Linked DNA regions of Xenopus tropicalis. The protein of the gene in region 3 interacts with the protein of the main gene of each other region in a pairwise test. Links are inferred from orthologs where the notes say so. Each region holds a gene or a part of one and is shown on either strand. Other genes may lie near its edges.

Region 1 (6,127 bases), on a different chromosome or scaffold from region 3:
ATAAAACAGTACCTGTACTTGATCCCAACTAAGATATAATTACCCCTTATTGGGGCAGAACAGCCCTATTGGGTTTATTTAATGGTTAAATGATTCCCTTTTCTCTGTAATAATAAAACAGTACCTGTACTTGATCCCAACTAAGATATAATTACCCCTTATTGGGGGCAGAACAGCCCTATTGGGTTTATTTAATGGTTAAATGATTCCCTTTTCTCTGTAATAATAAAACAGTACCTGTACTTGATCCCAACTAAGATATAATTACCCCTTATTGGGGGCAGAACAGCCCTATTGGGTTTATTTAATGGTTAAATGATTCCCTTTTCTCTGTAATAATAAAACAGTACCTGTACTTGATCCCAACTAAGATATAATTACCCCTTATTGGGGGCAGAACAGCCCTATTGGGTTTATTTAATGGTTAAATGATTCCCTTTTCTCTGTAATAATAAAACAGTACCTGTACTTGATCCCAACTAAGATATAATTACCCCTTATTGGGGGCAGAACAGCCCTATTGGGTTTATTTAATGGTTAAATGATTCCCTTTTCTCTGTAATAATAAAACAGTACCTGTACTTGATCCCAACTAAGATATAATTACCCCTTATTGGGGGCAGAACAGCCCTATTGGGTTTATTTAATGGTTAAATGATTCCCTTTTCTCTGTAATAATAAAACAGTACCTGTACTTGATCCCAACTAAGATATAAATAATCCTTATTGGGTGCAAAACAATCCTATTGGGTTTAATTAATGTTTTATTGATTTTTTAGTAGACTTAAGGTATGGAGATCCAAATGATGGAAAGATCCCTTATCCGGAATACCCTTGGTCCCGAGAATTCTGGATAACGGGTCATATACCTGTATATTCATTTAGATTTACATTACAGGGCAGCTCCGAAACCAGTGCAGTTAACATCAGAATGTAATAATCAGCCCTGCAGCATCAGCTTTTATGACAACCCTCTTTTTCTAAACTGACTCATCACTATATATAATTACAGAATATAATGACAGGCACTCTCGACAAACAAAAATCAAAGATGCCTGGGTGCAGTCCAAAAAACAGAGTACCGCACTCACAGGACTTATAAAAGTACAAAAAGATTTATTCAAAAGTTGTGTCTAACGTTTCGGCTACCACTGCAGCCTTTCTCAAAGACAGTATATATATATATATCTGCATGTGTTTAACAGTATTCAATATTTTTCCGCACAGTGGGGACCTGCAGGTTACGGGCAGCGGACACTGCTCTTACAGCACCGCCCAAAAAGCTATAGGAAAGGATAATTTTACTCTGATTCCAGAAGGAGTCAATGGAATCGAGGAACGGATGTCTATTGTGTGGGACAAAGCTGTGGTAAGTGTCAGGCTGAAGGTAGTTCATCAGATCCTCCCTCCTATGTAAAGTCCCTATAAAATAAACTTCTTCCATTTCTATAGGCTTGGAAAACAAACAAGGGGAAGTAAGGTGTAGATTATAAAAAAAAAAAAAAATACTTCGCAAAATTAATAAGAGCACTGTCAGCAATTTTACATTTCTTTGTTTTGAGGGGTTACCAGCCATGTCAGCACAACTACCTAGTTATCAGTTATCCACTTTCATTGGAAACACCTATTATATCTTTAATTTTTTTAGGCTACCGGTAAGATGGATGAGAACCAGTTTGTTGCGGTCACTAGTACAAATGCTGCCAAAATATTTAACCTGTACCCAAGAAAAGGCCGAATCGCAGTTGGTTCTGATGCTGATGTGGTTATTTGGGATCCGGACAAGATTAAGGCAGTCTCTGCAAAGACTCACAAATCTGTAAGTGAATAAACCTTTATTCAGATTAGGGTTCCTACACATAGAGCTGCATGAAGGAAAAACAACATGGTGCCCGGCCCATACACGTTGGTCAGGTTGGCAGACACGTAAAGCTTTGGCCAGTGGCCCATGTAGACCTTTTGCTCGTAGAAGACATTCATTGACCAATAGTGACCTGGATATGTCTGTACAGGTTAGATGTTCATAAAATATCTTATTTGTGACTCTCAGGCAGTAGAATACAACATCTTTGAAGGTATGGAGTGTCGTGGGGCTCCGCTGATGGTTATTAGCCAAGGAAAGATTGTCTATGAAGATGGAAACCTGCACGTTAACCAGGGCATGGGGCGCTTCATCCCTCGGAAACCATTCCCGGAATACATTTACCAGCGCATCAAAATCAGGAACAAGGTTCGTTCTTTATATACAGTCCCAAACTGGTGTGAAAGATGAAAGGGCTTTGGCTCTGTATGCAATGTATATATGTATTATACAGGTGAATTGTTGTCTATTGGATAACTGGCTTAATAATGAATGGGCCATGTCATTGGTTTGACAAATATAAAAGCAATATAAGGCACATGCACTCAGTGCCTCAGTGCAGCTTACAATCTAAGGTCCCTATCACATTCTAGGGTCAATTTAATCGGGAACTAATTAACCTGCCTGTATGGTAGTTGGAAGGAAAGCAAAGTACCCGTAGAAAACCCATACAGACACTCACTATACAGGCTATAGGAGTTGGCTAGGAAATTCCACTACTTTGTTCTGTCACTGATTTGCTTGAGGGGCTTTTTATTAGCATTGGGTAAATTTGCTGCAGTTCAGAAACCCATGGCAACTAAAGAGCTATTAACTACTGCACTTAATAAAAACTATTCTCCGATTGGTTGCTATGGATTGCTGGGGCATATTTGCCTAGTTTAAATTAATGACCACCGTAAAGCTGCTCATAAATGATAAGGTAACCAACCTTATGGCCAGCTGTACGGGGGGGGCAGATTAGGACCATGTGCAAACTCTTTGGTTAAAGGCTACGTGGTCATTACCTGAATGGATATATCAGGTAGCATAATTCATATCTGGCTAAAACTAGATTGTAGTTGGGGTGGTCAAATATACAGTCAAGAGTGGCCAAGTTGGCAGGCAAGCTGGACCAGGGTTCAGGGGGTCATTCACATAATAGCCATGTGCAAACCCTTTGGGTGAAAGCAAGGTGGTCCTCTCTTGAATGAATATATTGGATAGCCTAATTCAAATCTGGCTAAACCCAACCAGATTGTAGTTAGGGTGGCCAAATACATGGTTCAAGAGTGGCCAAGTTGGCAGGCAACCTGTGCCAATCTATGACCAACTTTTTCATAGGAAATTTGAGCCTCTGCCTATTCATGAAGATGTTCCCGTCAAGCAAAAACGAATTACTTTAGTGGTATAATCAATATACGGTGCATAAAACTTGTTTCTATGAAGGCTGTACCTAAAACATGCTGTTTTGATATAGTCTAAATGTGTTTTATATTATTTATCCCCTCCTTATTAAGAGGATATTGAATGAATTTGCCCATTTATCAGAAGAAATGTTTTTCTAGGTGGCAGGATTAGAACCTGTGTCACGTGGAATGTATGATGGGCCTGTATATGAAGTTCCAGCCCCTCCCAAGTATGCAACTCCAGCCCCATCGGCTAAATCCTCACCTTCCAAACCTCAGCCTCCTCCAGTCAGGAACCTTCACCAGTCCAACTTTAGTTTATCAGGTATGTGGATAATATGAGTCCTTTTTGTTGTGTGCTCAGCTGATAATTACATACCCAAACATCAGTCCGTTAGAAATGGAGGGGTCATCGGATAAACAGAAGGCCAATGAGAAGGGTTGCTGGTCATCAAAGATTGTATTTGTGTCTAACTCATCCTGTGTCTTCAAACATTTAAATGAATGACCCTACATTGTAGGTGCACAAAAAGACGACACTAACCCTCGCCGCACAGGGCATCGCATCGTTAATCCACCTGGTGGCCGCTCAAACATCACAAGCCTTGGTTGATGGATCTGCATCAAGAAAATGAAAGAATCTCACCGCTGGAACAATGTTCCTATCTGTGTCAGTGTTATTGAGCCCACACATTTTTGGTACTACTGAACATGGTCTGTTTTGTATAGAAAGGGATGGTCATTGTGTGGTTAAATGCTTGGAACTATTTTCTCTTTCCCACCCCCACCCTTACACTTGTGCATAGTCATCCCATCCCCTTGGGCATCAGTTCAGTCTCCAACACATTTCACCGAAATGGGTCGGCGACCCCTCTGACGCCCTTGACTGGTGAAAGCATGGAAATACCCATTGCTGTTGTAGAGTAGAGGCTTCCGCTTTGTCTTTGTGCCATACGATAGTCCATTTGCACCATTTAGATGTCTTTGGGTGAGCAGTGCATGGCCTTCTGTTATTCATTTACCCTCCGTAGGTCAGTGGTTGAGTTTCCATTGATGCCAACAAGCTGTCCTAGACATAATGCCAAGACCAAGATTGCCAGCGATAACTAAGAAATGTGAACAATTTTATGTATAATGTAGAATGCTAAATGTTTCATTTCCGTTAGCCTTTTGTACAACCCCACAGCTCACAGCAGCCTTCATGTGATCTCATTGTACAGCTTAGTGTATTCTCATCATTGTAAACCATTTCCAATAACAGACACATACACTTATTTTGGCCGCGCAAGCGACCAGCCTTGCGCGCGCAGTGTTTTGATACGGTCGGTATGGTTAGCTATCTGATTTTTACGTTTTTTTGTACAAAGTTTTCCTTTGTATTCACATGCATTTTTACTTACGGTTCCGTATGAAGTTCTAGATGTGACTCGATGAATGACTTCAACGCTTGTGAAATAAAGAACACAGAATAAGTTGCTTGGGCTCTTGTCTTCTATCAGGTTAATCTGGGCTAAATATTAGCAGGCCTGGACTGGGATTCAATATAGGCCCCGAGTGGCATTTTATGTACACAAAGGCCCAAACATGTAACTAATTAGCCTCCAAGATGCAGAACATTATCATCGTTTCCAGCACTGCATACATCCCTGCACTAGAACTCATACCCACATTGGCATAATAAAGACACTGCCCCAACCTTGCGCAAATAATGATGTGGCCCATGCTACTTTGAGCCACCAATCATTTTCACTTTGTAAATGAGCCCTTATTATATGTAAATGCATTCAGGCAATAAGTTAAACACTAAAGGATAAGTAAAGGTTTACTTAAGGTGCCCATACACGGGCCAATTCTAGCTGCCGATATTGGTCTCTTAGACCGTTTCGGCAGCTAATGGGCCCATGTATGGGCACTACAGACAGGCCTGCCCGACCGATATCTGGCCTGAAATCAGCCAGATCTCGATCGGGCAGGTTAAAAAATCAAGTTGGATCGGGGACCGCATTGGCTAGTTGATGTGGTCCCCGAACCGACATCTTATCTGGTTCCTCAGTTCTTCTTCTGGCAATATGTATTCCTGGCCCTCTCCTGCATCTCTATGTAGCCCCAATCCCATGATGATATTCAGGACAAGTTAGTCCCATATGCTGTTTCTCCTTTTGGGTTCCTACAAACACCTTTGTCTTCCCAAAGTCACCTCTAGATCAATCTGAAGGTCAGCTTCTCACCATAAAGGTCTCCCTTGCATAGAGAGGTTGTTCACCTTGTACTTAACATTTACTTAGTATAACATAGAACATCATTCTGATTTCCAATTGGTTTGTATTTTTTTATTTTAATTGTTTAGCTTTTTGTTCAGCCGCCCTCTAGGAATTTCAGCAGCGATCTGGTTGCTAGGGTCCAGTTTACCCTAACAACCAGGCAGTGGTTTAAACAAGTGATTGGAAGATGAATATACAAAGTGACAACATTGTAGCTTCACAGAGCAATAGTTTTTGGCTGCTGGGGTAAGTGACCTCCATCTGACAGTTGGAAAGAGGTAGAAGAAGACAAATAGTTCAATAGTAAAAAAAAAAAATATAAAAAGAAGACCAAGTAAAAAGTTGCTAAGAATAGGCCATTCCATAACATACTAAAACTTAACTGAAATGATAACAACCCGATTCATTTCCTTACTACGTTGCTGAATGTAATCTTGCCTTGAACATGGCTGTAGATGGAATTCTCTATAGAGGGATAACAAAGTTTTTCATAGATTGAGCAAATATACCAGAAACGGTTATTAGGTTTCCCCTTGTACTGCACAGAATTCAGCAGAAAATACAGTGGCCCAAAGAAACACAATACTGCACACACCACTGGCTGTTTCATTGGCAAG
Region 2 (6,290 bases), on a different chromosome or scaffold from region 3:
CCAACAATACATGCTTCTGTTTTCAGCTGGTGGCTGCTACATAGTTTTCAGCAAATACAGTGTCATCCAGTGGCCTAAGAGGTCACTGTAGAATAATTATTACACAATTACCTGTATCTTTTGTAACCCCCTACCCGTATTTTGTTTAATCACTGTTCTTCTATCTCATATTTGTCCTTTTGTATCGAGAATTCTGCTTTCTTCCCTCCCCAGTGCTTCCTCTTTTTCTATAATAACTATGTTTTGTTGTCCATTATTTTGTTCCTATTTTGGCTGTTGCTATGTTGCTTGATATTCCTTTCATCCATATACAGAAACAATAACTACTCCATAGAGATATTGCTGTGGGGGAAAACAGGAGTGAGGGGTCAAAATATTCATTTTTCAAACTGAAGCATTTAAAGAACCGTCTGTGCAACTCAACAAGTTGTCAATACAAGTCTTTGTGACAAATACTTATTTTTATAAATCTAATTAATTACATTTATGCACAAAGTTTTATGTAAATTACTGAAGGTAAAAAAAAAAAGTAAATTTTTGTGTTTTTTGTATGCTTACCCATTCACCCATTGGTGATTTTCTGGGTAGTGCTGGCCATACATTATAAGATCCATTCATTTGTGAAGTGGCCAATATCGGGCTGATCTGATCGTTTAGCCCTAAGGCCAAAAGATCAGATCACCACAATGGGAATAAAAGCTGTTGGCTCGCGTGAACAAGCCAATGTGGTCAGACAGGAAAATCAAATCAACACCTGCCCGATTTTCAGCCAGATATTGGTCAAGTAGGACTGTGGGAGGGCCCCATACTCTGGCAGATAAGCTGCCAACTAACAAATTGGTATCTTAAATCTGCCCTTGTATGGCCACCTTTACAGACACCAAATGAAGGCGGAATGCAATCATTAAAAGGAAGCAGCCGGTGCAATGTACAGGGAGGAATAGAAGTAATGGAACAAAGGGTTCATTATTTTTAATCCACGTGTTTCAATGAGTCATGTGACACAAAGGACATCACTAAGCACTGATTATAACTGATAACAGTCCCGAACACTATTTACGGGGATATATTTTCATAATAATGTTTTATATCAGAATTTAGCTGCAGTCTCCTGTTTCAGGAACCCTATATTTTTTTCCTGTCTTACCGTTTTATTGATTGAAGCTATTTTTTACTCCCATCCAGATTACCTGTGTACCCCTGAAGAAAACGTTTACAAAATAGACTTTACCAGATTTAAAATTCGTGACATGGAGTCTGGAACGGTGTTGTTTGAAATTACCAAGCCACCAGCATCAGGTATGTACAGAATTATGCTGATTCTAGCAAGGGATAGAATCTCCCAACACACAGACATGGGGAACCCTTACACAAATGTGAATATACACTTGTATTGTAAATGTATTTGTTTGCTCAGCCTTGGGAGGAAGCCTGTGGCAATAACACTCCCCACCCAGGAAGTGCTTTATCAGATTATTATACTGCGTGTCATGTATTTCATGTAAAGCTAAATCCATTATGATCGTAAAAATGGTTGTGTCTAGTCACGCAGTGCCGTTTAATGCCATTTAAACCAAACAATAAAATTTCATTACAATGCTGCTACTGCTATAGTATGCTATTTTCAAACCGGACTGGCTCCATGGAAAATATCCCATTCTGAAAAGAAGAAGTGATCACAGCTGGGTAGTTATTATTATTATTATTATTATTAACAATTATTTATAAAGCGCCAACATATTCCGCAGCGCTGTACAATAAGTGGGTTTCATACATTGGACATACAGAGTAACATATAAAGCAATCAATAACCAGTACAAGAGGTGAAGAGAGCCCTGCCCAAAAGAGCTTACAATCTACAAATGTAGCACCTTACTAGAATCAGAGCTTTTCAGAAATGTGTATTTTATATTATTATATATAATATATTATTTTGATATTTTATTTGGCAGTGGGCAGTAACCCATGGCAGCAAATAAGATGTTTGCTTTCAACCTGCAGCTGCCCAGTGTTTATAAATGAGCACCCAATATTTTCAACCCGCCTGGCACCCAGAATTTCCAGGCTGACACACTGCTGAGAAGGGAGTTCTACTCACAATGATCAGGATTGTAACTGTTGTAACACTTGACCTATAGGCTTAATTTGGGACTTTATGCAATGCAATGAAGTGAGTCATAAATCCTTGAATTAGAAGATACAGGGTTGTTACAGAAATAGTTTTCCATTGTAGTCATAGCAATCATTGCTAACTGATGGGTTTGGGTATATTACCGTTCCAAGAGGGACTTATGCACATATTCCTTGTCTGTTAAGTAGCAGGCTGGATTTGTTTTCCTTTTGTCTGAATGTACCATTGGATGTTTGTTGGGAACTTAAAGCTGGTCATATGCAGAAAGGTCCACTCGTTTGGTGAGGACTCTATACAAGTGGACCAATCTAAGCGCATATGCACTTCTCACCCTGATCATCATCTGGCTGCTTATTGTTTGGGCAGGCCTGTCTGAAGGCCCCGGGCACTGCTGATAAGCTGCCCACTCCGTGACCGTCAGCAGCTTTTATCTGCCCATGTAAGGCCACCTTAACCTGCTGTTGGGATATACTGATGGTGTTAAATAACCAGGCACAGATTGCTTTTACAGATTAACCAAACCCGCCAGAAAGCTGCGCTTCTAAAGCTGTGTTAAAGGGGTTGTTTAGCTTTATTTTAAAGGAACAGTAACACCAAAAAATGAAAGAGCTTTAAAGTAATGAAAATATAATGCACTGTTGCCCTGCACTGGTAAAATTGGTGTGTTTGCTACAGTAACCCTACTATAATTTATATAATAAGCTGCTGTGTAGCCCCGGGGGCAGCCATTCAAGCTGGAAAAAAGGAGAAAAGGCACAGGTTACATAGCAGATATGTTATGTAACATAACAGATAAGTTCTGTAGAATACAATAGTGTTTTATCTGTTATCTGCTATGTGCCTGTGCCTTTTCTCCTTTGAATGGCTGCCTCCATGGCTACACAGCAGCTTATTTATATAAATTATAGTAGACTTTCTGAAGTAAACACACAACTTTTACCAGTGCAGGGCAGCAGCACATTATATTTTAGTTACTTTTATACACTTTCATTTTTTGGTGTTACTGTTCCTTTAACTTTTACTATGATTTAGACAATGATTAGATATTCTGAGACAACTTGCAGTTGGTCTTCATTTTTTATAGTTTTTTTTGGTCATTTAGCTTTTGGTTAGCAATTTGGTATTTTAGCAGCCATCTGGTTGCCAGGATCTTATTTTCCCTAGCAACCAGGCAGTGGTTTGAATAAAACTAGAATAAGTACAGGTGATTGAATAGAAAGATAAGTAATAAAATTGTAGCTTTGCAGAGCAGTAGTTTTTTACCTGCAGTGACCACCCAATTGAAAGCTGGGTAGAGGTAGTAGAGAAAGGCAAATAACCCAAAAACCATTAAAGATAAATAATGAAGACCAGTTGCAAAGTTGCTAGGTATAGGACATTCTATAACAGTGATCCCCAAACAGTGGCTTGTGGGCAACATGTTGCTTACCAACCCCTTGGATCCTTGCAATGTTGTGGCAAGCTAAATTCCCTTATATAGCATTTCATTAGATAGCACATTTTATGTTTTAGAACGTGACCACGGCGATAAAAAGGATGCTGATCCTAATGCTGGCAGATTTGTCCGATACCAGTTCACTCCAGCTTTCCTGCGACTGCGCCAAGTAGGAGCAACGTAAGTGCCTAGAAAGATCACTCTTATAAGCAAATGCTTGCTCTTCTGCTATGAGAGAATTTGCAAGTAGGTTCAGGTAATGTAAATACAAACTATGTGCGATAGTTGTTTTCATTTCCTTTATGGCTTAACTAAGAACATGCAGTTCTGCACATGAAAATCAGTATATTAATCTAAGTATGAGGAGAGAATAAATAAAAATGGAACATTTATGCAATGGTTTGCATGTAAATTAGAGTTCAACTTTTATGGATAATATATTTCATTCTCCATAATGGCACTAGCTATGAAAATAGTGTTACATACAACAGACTCATATTGTGCTTAATGTGAAAGTCTGCCTGGGCCACATGAGGTTGGAGGCACCAACGAGTATTTTACTTCAACTGGTCCTGGGCCAGGCAGGGGTATAAGTATAGTGAGAGCATTGCATAACAACTCTGTCATTAAATGTACTTGCTCCTTCCTATAGTTGCTCTGGGCACCACTCCTTTCTGTCTTCTGTTTGGAATCGTGTGCCGCAGCACCTACTAACGCATGGGTACTCTGGAGCTACTGCCACCTCTGGACCAGGAGGTAGCTCCAGGGTTCCCCTCGTGCCCTCTGTCAATTGCCACAGCACAGTTGTGCTAAAGGAATAGGGCACACACGTCATGGCAAACACCAGAAATGATGCCCGAGAACACCAGATGACAGGCAGGCTTAGAAAATACTTGTCTCGGTTGCAACCCTTATGCAACAGACACAGTTGTGTCCATTATTACAAAAGAATGTAGTTGCATTGTGTATTATATGCTGTGTTACGAGATCCACTGGTTTTAGAAAAAGAACATTTGCATTGTGGCTCAAAACTGCACTTTACTCACTGCACTTGTTGACATAAATGAGCCCTTTTGTGTAGCAGCCTCTGACTGATCACAAAGTCTGCGTTACTGAAGCAAACATGTATCTTTTATATTTATGTATGTATATATTTTATTGCAGAGTTGAATTCACAGTTGGTGATAAGCCCATTAATAACTTCCGCATGATTGAACGGCATTATTTTCGTGAGCAGCTATTAAAAAGCTTCGATTTTGAATTTGGCTTCTGTATCCCCAGCAGTAAAAACACTTGCGAACATATCTATGAATTTCCACAGCTCTCTGAGGATCTAAGTAAGTTATTTCTCTACGTAAGTATTTAGAAATATATCTGTTCCTCTCTGTGGTTATATTTTATTTCATATAACAAATGCAGTCTGATTCTCCGTGAATCAGTGCAGATTTCAACTTCAAAATAGGCCCTGGCATTTCAAGTACACAGAGGCCCAAACAGCCCCCCACCAGCCCAATAAATAGTGACTGTCTATGGCATCTTACAGCAGCCCCTCTGGCATTTGCCAGAACCCACAGATTGCCAGAATTTGTGTAATTTTCCAACCTTCATAAGATGTCAACTGAGAACTCCATTCTCACTGTATTTTCATAAGCCTGAATAAATATTGAGGGAAAATGCCTGCCAGCTGTTTGGTTATTCTTTTAGGGTGAATAGGCAATAGAACTTGGCATGTAAGGCTGACATATCCACCATTTGTGTGCAAGCTTCTACCCTGAGACTGTAAGATAAAGAATTAGATGGCTTAAAGTACATTTTTGCCAAATAAATCTGTACTCATAATATTCTGTAACATTCTGGCAATGGAAGGTCCATTTTGTTTGAGATTGATGTTTAATAAATATTGCAAAATAAAAATCTTGTTTCCCCTTTTTTTTCTCATTCTATTTTGCAGTTCGCGAAATGATTCTGCACCCATATGAGACACAATCGGACAGTTTCTACTTTGTGGACAACAAACTTGTGATGCACAACAAGGCAGATTATTCATATAGCGGAGGTCCGTGATCCCCAAAAATAGCACGAGCGAGAAAGCATCAACAGCAGTCCCCTTTCCCCATAGCAGTTACGTAAGGGATAACACCCACTTTCCGTAGGCAAACAATCCAGGAAACAATATACTGTTTGCAAGTAGGAGATTTTTGGCTGTACCCCAGTCTTTGTAGCACATTCAGATAGTGCAAGAATCGTCAAACTGCAAAATCTGAGGCAGTGGACTTCATCAGCCCTTCCCAACATGAATGTGGGATAAGGATAAACCTAAATAAATACTTCTCTCTTGCTCCATATAAAGGGTTGTTCTCCTGGAACAAGGACTCTTGCATCTTATCTAAGTCTTCTTAGGACCAACCTTTCTCATATGACAGGCTTGTGAGTTCTTCATCAATATTCTTGCCTCTATCTAAGAGAAGAAAGGACAAAAAAATCATTCAGTAGTTTCTTTTTTTACTAAATGTCAGCTTGGGAAAAAAACATTGTTATCAAGGAAATCCAAGCCAAAGATTTAATCAGTTCTTCCTCTTTGGGCTTGCACTTGTTAGGATTCTTGTTATTCTCTAGGCATTAAGTATTGTTTGACATTTTCCCATTCATTTCTAATGAGATGGCTATTACACAAAAAACAAACACAAAATTGTGCATAGATCGTTAAGGATTAAGTGTTCCATC
Region 3 (6,936 bases):
ATACGGCCGTTTCTAGCTGCCAATATCGTTCCTTTAGACCAATTCACCAGCTCATCTGCCTGTGTATGGGCACGAACGATGGGCCTGCCCGACCGATATCTGGCCTGAAATCAGCCAGATCTTGATCGAGCAGGTTTAATTTTTTCTGTTGTATCGGGACTGCATCGGCTCGTTTATGTAGTCCCTGAACCGATGGTGCCTTTGCGGGACATGGAACTATCCGGCACAGCGGGATGCGCTTGCTGTAGCCGGATGTTCTTGCTTCTTCTGCGGCTTCGTTATGCCTCTCCTTGTGCAGCGCGACAGGCCCTTTTATAAGGTTGCGCCTGTGGGTGTGACGTCATTACGCACGGGCACAACCTTATAAAAGGGCCTGTCGCGCTGCACAAGGAGAGGCATAACGAAGCCGCAGACGAAGGCTGCGCCTATGGGAGGTACTGTGAATGGGGGGCTACTGTGATAGGGGGACACTGTGTATTGGGGGGTACTGTGTATTAGGGGCTACTGTTTATAGGGGCACTGTTTATTGGGGGCTACTGTGTATTGGGGGCTACTGTGTATAGGGGGCTACTGTGTATAGGGGGCTACTCTGTATAGGGGGCAATGTATGGGGGCACTGTGTATGGGAGACTACTGTGTATTGGGGGGTACAGTGTATTGGGGGGTACAGTGTATTGGGGGGTACTGTGTATGGGGGGCTACTGTGTATGGGGGGGCTACTGTGTATGGGGGGCTACTGTGTATGGGGGTACTGTGTATGGGGGGGCAAAACTGGTACTTAGTTATAACTCACTTATAACTGACTGCCTTCTCTCTATACTTGTATTTTAATGTAGGAGTTGCTATATTGTTTTCCTTAGGTCGTTCAGTATGAGGGTATAGCACATTTTCGTCTGCGCCCGCCATTTGATCTATATAAAAGGGGTTATTTTTTTAAAAATGGGATGTGGTAATTGGGGCGTGGCCACAAAAGGGGGCGTGGTCAAAAATTGCCGTGCTGCGCGTGCCAAATCTTTTTGTCCCTCTTTTCATTTTTCAAATGTTGGGAGGTATGATATTATACTTCCTGACAATCTGATTAATACTATACAAACAAAGTAGTGAGAAACTGGGCAGTAGCAGTAATAGCAGGTAATATGACAAAGGAGAAAGTCAGAGACCTTCAGCGGGGCATGGAGCCCCTATTAGCTGGGCATGGAGCCCCTATTAGCGGGGCATGGAGCCCCTATTAGCGGGGCATGGAGCCCCTATTAGCTGGGCATGGAGCCCCTATTAGCTGGGCATGGAGCCCCTATTAGCTGGGCATGGAGCTCGTATTAGCTGGGCATGGAGCCCCTATTAGCTGGGCATGGAGCCCCTATTAGCTGGGCATGGAGCCCCTATTAGCGGGGCATGGAGCCCCTATTAGCGGGGCATGGAGCCCCTATTAGCTGGGCATGGAGCCCCTATTAGCGGGGCATGGAGCCCCTATTAGCTAGGCATGGAGCCCCTATTAGCTAGGCATGGAGCCCCTATTAGCGGGGCATGGAGCCCCTATTAGCTGGGCATGGAGCCCCTATTAGCGGGGCATGGAGCCCCTATTAGCGGGGCATGGAGCCCCTATTAGCTGGGAAAGCTCTCTCTGAAAATAAATATCTGCTATTGGCACAATTTTTTTTTTTTTTAAAAATGTATTTTCTTCTATTGCAAAAATTCTTACTTTGGCAAAAGGGACAGAGTTGGGGGGGGTGATTTTATTAAAATTGTGAAGCACTTCTTTAAACATACAGGCTAAGCGTAATACTAGTGCCAAAACGCGTCAGCCATCGTTCTAACAAGTGCCACAACCCACAACAGGATTTCGCTGCGGTATCAGCGGTAGATTTCATTGAAGCGTTCCGCAAGCTTTCCTTCATATTATATGCAACTGACCCTTGCATACTCCCTCGCTAACTGGAAAAGAACATTTACATTACAGGGTCCCACTAGTTACAAATTCATGTTTATTTAATTTTCTTTTCCCGCCACCTCCAACTCGTTTGCCAAACACCAGGCCAACCAGTGAAAGCTGAATCCCCTCCTTCCTCATCTTCATAACAGCGGGGGCTGTAGAATCCCATTGGCTAGCGTACACCATCGCCGCCTGTGATTGGACAGAGCTGCGCGGGAGAATGCACAGACGTTGTATTGAAAGAAGTGACTGTACCGGACACAGTCATTCCCGCGCTCTGCTCTCGCCTGGTACCGATATGAATTGCCTCAACGTACCCGAAATCATGCCAGGCTCGCCCAGCAAATCCCGGGGCCAGATCCAGGTAAGCCGGGCACAGCATTACATTTAGCCATGCAGTTTACTCTCCAGATGACTTGTCATGAAGTGAAGTGATTTGTAGTTCTAGGAGAAACTGGCTGAGCACTCTTGTTATATGACAGCTGCAAGGGAGTTTTTGTGTTGTATCTAGCCTAACACATCTTTATGAGAGGCCCCCTAAAGGGAACGTGTATTAATAGTGGGCTCAGGTGCATGTATAGATTATATTTGCCCTCAGTATTATACACCAAGGGCTGTGAGGCACAACACACTGCATCATGCAGCTCCCAGACATACATCTTGTATATAGACTTACATTTGGGTTAAGTATATATTTAAGTGCAACTGTACAGGGCAGGGACTTTGTTCCTTATTAGTGGGGTTATCATTTTTATATAAGTACCCAAGGGCATGTACCAAATGTGGCAGCCTTAGGGGTTGCACTCTGGTGCCTGGAAAGAACAAAACAAAATATATCCCTGCCCTTGAAGCTTATGGTGTGTGCCAAATAATTCTAGCAGTAAGTGGAAAGACTGCTAAGAATTCTGGTTTTTAGGGTAGTGGCACATATGGCATCATAGGGGCTGGGATTCAAAACAGAACCTGCTATTTCAAGCACACAGAGGCCTAAACAGCCAGGGACAGGCTCCAGAAATAGTGACTGTTTGTGGCATGTACCAAAATCTGCAGATTGGCAGTCTGAGCCTGATATTCAGGGTTATTTTCTAGGGGGGTTTATGGCACACAATGAATTCACTTTCTTTTGTATGTGAGCCCCATAAAGTGTTGGCAAAGACTATTCCCAGTGTCTTAGTACAGGGATCCCCAACCTTTTTTTGCTTGTGAGCCACACTCTGCTGTAAAAAGTGTTGGTGGGCCACACAGGCATGAAAAAGGTTTTTGGGGTTGCCAAATAAGGGCTGTGATTGGCTATTCGATAGCCCCATGTGGGCTGCTAGCCTGCAGGAGGCTCTGCTTGAAGTAAAACTGTGTCTCTGTGATTCCAAAACTTGCCTCCAAGCCAGACATTCAAAAATGAGCACCTGCTTTGAGACCACTGGGAGCAACATCCAAGGGGGTGGGGAGTGACATGTTGCTCAGGAGTCACTGGTTGGGGATCACTGTTGTAGTAGTTGGGATTGGGTATATATCATATGCATTCTTACAGAGTTTATCTATAAATAGAATACTAATGCTGGCAAAGGATGGAATGCAGAATTGTGTTTTGAACAAAGGTTTGACTGAATACACATTCTGTAGATAAAAGGTTCTACATTCCACAACATAGATTCTACATTCTGCCGCACTCACAGGTGGGGAGGAGAGCGGCGTTTATGCTGCTCCTTTGTTCTCCAGCCCCTAGGAAACAAGCAGTATTGTAAAAATCTGGTCTGTGTGCTAATTTTGAAGTAGTTGAAGAGACTGCCATGACTATTTTATTTATTATTTTCATTTTGGGGCCTTTACATTTCACGGTCTTTGGCGAACCTTTGTATGGATACAGGGCCAGAAGACCCGTCCTATTTATAGTGCCATACAATGGTACCTTTATCACATTTTGAAGATAAAATACAGAGAGGTTTGAGTTAGTTTTTACTAAAATTTATTAGAAATCCACTTTAGCAAAGCATTGCTACCACTGGAAATTATTTGGCCATGCAATTGTATGCTGATTTCTGCTGCACTGCTTTGAAAACCTGCTTATGTTTGGAATTTATGACCTGTACAAGTCAGAATTCTGGTATTGGCTCATTCGGGAGACATGGGGCCTTCCAGATCAGTGAAATATAAAATGCTTCTGATATATACTTCTGTATTGTATAGAAATTATTTTTATCATGTTACAGAAGTGGAGTTGCACAAAGACTCTGAGAATGTTAAGGTTGTCCTAACAAAGCAATGGGCAGTTTCAATATGTAAACTAAAAGACAAAATGCCCCAAAGAACACAAAATGCTCAAATTAGCTACATGGTTAATGATAAAAGATGTTAAAAAGTATACATGTCCATCAAATGAAAGTGTATATACCATGACTGCTATAGTTGGTTTGTGTGTTAATTTGTATTTCAAACCCATTTGTTTTTACTTTTAGGTGATATTTGGGCCAATGTTTTCTGGAAAAAGGTGAGTTCAAAGGACCGCGCAATTCTATATTCTCTCTCATGAGCTGTAATCTAGATGTTCCTTATTGAGAACAGTGTGTTGCTATGGCAATGGGGCACGCTACTTCCAATGGGCTAAAGTGCTTTGGAAGGAGGGCAGTAGGGGAATCAGTCTTGGTCTGCGTTGGGACAATTCTTCTTTTTTTTTTTTTTTTTTTTTTTTTTTTTTGAATGGATGGTGGTGCTGTTTGGTATTTGCTCACATTGCATCCATTTTTAGAGTGCTGCAGTATGTATTATAGTAAGCCTTTTTAAAAAAGTATGTTTATTGTCCTTTAACTGCTGTATGTCATCGCATGAGACTGCTTATTTTCCTATTCTGCTGAACAAATTTTCTGTATATTTTACAGCACAGAGCTGATGCGCAGAGTGCGACGGTTTCAGATTGCACAGTACAAGTGCATGCTTATAAAGTATGCGAAAGATACACGCTACAGCAAAGAGCATCTTGCTACACATGACCAGTAAGCAATTTTACACATTCTGTATTGTTAAGCTCATCTTATCTACATATAGAAATATCGCATATCATTGGTTGTGGTACATTTGTATTTACTGATTTTAAAAAGCATGCCCAAAAATCATATAGGACTGCACTGGGTAACATGGTAACAATTGTTATGGGCTATAATTGCCAGGACCTTCATGGTGTAGAGTATGGTTTATATGTTTTTGGCAAATAACACTTTTTGGGAATTCACAGAAGTGTAGTTACCTTAAAATATGAGTTAAAGTGGAGCAAAATTAATTTACCCCACAAAATCATCTAAATACAAATTAACAAAAGTAGACGGTACTGTTTTATTGATTAAAATGGAGTCGATGGAAGATGGCCTTCCCCTAATTTAAAGCTTTTTGGAGAAAGGGTTTCCAGCTAATGCATTCCATAACTGTACTACTTTTACAGAGGACTTCAGTGCTTCTTTGTTCCAAACCATGTAGAGTATTTTTACATTGCTGTGCCCATCCTTTTTAAAGCAACTGTTAAGTATAGAGATTGAGATGTTAATGCTTGTTTGTCCTTGCAGGAACACAATGGCAGCTGTATCTGCCTGCCAGTTGCGTGATGTTTCCGCTGAAGCTTTGGCCTGTTCTGTTATAGGAATAGATGAAGGACAGTTTGTGAGTATTTCCTGATTTAACTTTAAAGTTCGTTCTTCACCTGACTTCTGATGACCGATAATAAAACTTCTGTTCTCATTCAGTTCCCTGACATTGTAGATTTTTGTGAGGAAATGGCAAATCGTGGAAAGACTATGATTGTAGCAGCTCTGGATGGCACATTTCAGAGGAAGGTTAGTTGTAGTTACAAGTATAAGAATGCAATGTGTTGTGCTTTTTACATGGGTTTTAAGTGGCCCTTACCACCTTTTTGTGCACATTTTTAGGCATTTGGAAACATCTTGAATTTGGTGCCTTTGGCAGAAAGTGTTGTAAAACTCAACTCTGTTTGCATGGAGTGTTATCGGGAGGCTGCATACACCAAGCGGCTAGGGGCAGAAAAGGAGGTATGTAAATAGTCTTCTGGAGGTATTATTTATGTCCTTGTCTGCATGTGAGCTATTTGTGCATCAAAAAATGCCAGCTACGTTTTCTATAGACAGATAGCAAAATTATTGCAAATATTTTGCTTCACAGGTAAATCCAATAAATTGCATTATTTCTGTTATGTTATTGTACTTTAAATACAGGTAATGTGCAAATAATTTTTTCCTTGTACTTAATTTCATACACACAAATGGTGTGGCCATATTGCTTAATTTGGTTTAGATATATTCATAGGGGCATATTTATTATAGAGTATAAACCAACATCACCGGTGATGTTGCCCATAGCAACCAATCAAATCTTTGCTTTTATTTGCTAACTTGTAGGTGACCATCCAAATTGAATTGCTGATCGGTTGCTATAGGGAACATCGCCAGTAATGTTGCCTTACACACTGTAATATGCCCCTACTGTATATTCTCATGTTAATCTTCAATTGATGTGGGTTTTGTAATGGCCATTGAGGCAGGAGGTAAAAGAATTAATGTTAATTTTAATTAGGCCAAATTTCAGCTAGTGTCCTGTAGGTTATGAGCCTGCAGACCAGAAAGGGATTTAAAATGCAGGTCCCTATATAGGCATTTTCCACATTCATTCCTTCCTTCCCTCCCACTCTTAAATTATGTCCTTTACAGTTTCATTGTAACCTCATTTTTTTTATTCTATCACAGTGAGTGGGTGAAGCTGCGTAATTTCCTTTTGTTGCTATATGATAAAATGGCAGTTTTAGTTTGAGTCTTAAGTTGTATCCATTCTAAAAGCCCTCAGTAATCCTGATGCTGCCTCCTTTATTTGCCACAATAGTTTTGCATATTACGAGCTAAAAAGAAAAATATATATTAGGGGCCAGTGACATGTGGCAGTCGGGCAGATTTGGATGGAAAAAATTGGCCGGCACTTTGGGTGTGGGTTGTCATTGCCCAGCCACAGCCTGT

Evidence for each region. The genes of interacting proteins can lie anywhere in the genome.
Region 1: the proteins of tk1 (region 3) and crmp1 interact in a two-hybrid assay, tested with the Homo sapiens proteins (2 studies listed by BioGRID and IntAct). The link is inferred for Xenopus tropicalis from reciprocal best matches to the Homo sapiens genes TK1 and CRMP1.
Region 2: the proteins of tk1 (region 3) and unc119 interact in a two-hybrid assay, tested with the Homo sapiens proteins (2 studies listed by BioGRID and IntAct). The link is inferred for Xenopus tropicalis from reciprocal best matches to the Homo sapiens genes TK1 and UNC119.

The regions. Positions count from the first base shown.
Region 1 is NC_030677.2:25,659,326-25,665,452, forward strand, and holds the end of crmp1 (dihydropyrimidinase-related protein 1), read left to right. Parts: intron 1-1,227; coding exon 1,228-1,369; intron 1,370-1,648; coding exon 1,649-1,819; intron 1,820-2,050; coding exon 2,051-2,230; intron 2,231-3,408; coding exon 3,409-3,574; intron 3,575-3,770; coding exon 3,771-3,862; 3' UTR 3,863-4,724; downstream 4,725-6,127.
Region 2 is NC_030678.2:34,703,808-34,710,097, forward strand, and holds part of unc119 (protein unc-119 homolog A), read left to right. Parts: intron 1-1,185; coding exon 1,186-1,299; intron 1,300-3,643; coding exon 3,644-3,746; intron 3,747-4,730; coding exon 4,731-4,903; intron 4,904-5,517; coding exon 5,518-5,630; 3' UTR 5,631-6,290. UniProt on the Homo sapiens protein: Involved in synaptic functions in photoreceptor cells, the signal transduction in immune cells as a Src family kinase activator, endosome recycling, the uptake of bacteria and endocytosis, protein trafficking in sensory neurons and as lipid-binding chaperone with specificity for a diverse subset of myristoylated proteins.
Region 3 is NC_030686.2:26,184,923-26,191,858, forward strand, and holds the start of tk1 (thymidine kinase, cytosolic), read left to right. Parts: upstream 1-2,210; 5' UTR 2,211-2,228; coding exon 2,229-2,294; intron 2,295-4,383; coding exon 4,384-4,415; intron 4,416-4,803; coding exon 4,804-4,917; intron 4,918-5,481; coding exon 5,482-5,575; intron 5,576-5,658; coding exon 5,659-5,748; intron 5,749-5,841; coding exon 5,842-5,961; intron 5,962-6,936. UniProt on the Homo sapiens protein: Cell-cycle-regulated enzyme of importance in nucleotide metabolism. Catalyzes the first enzymatic step in the salvage pathway converting thymidine into thymidine monophosphate.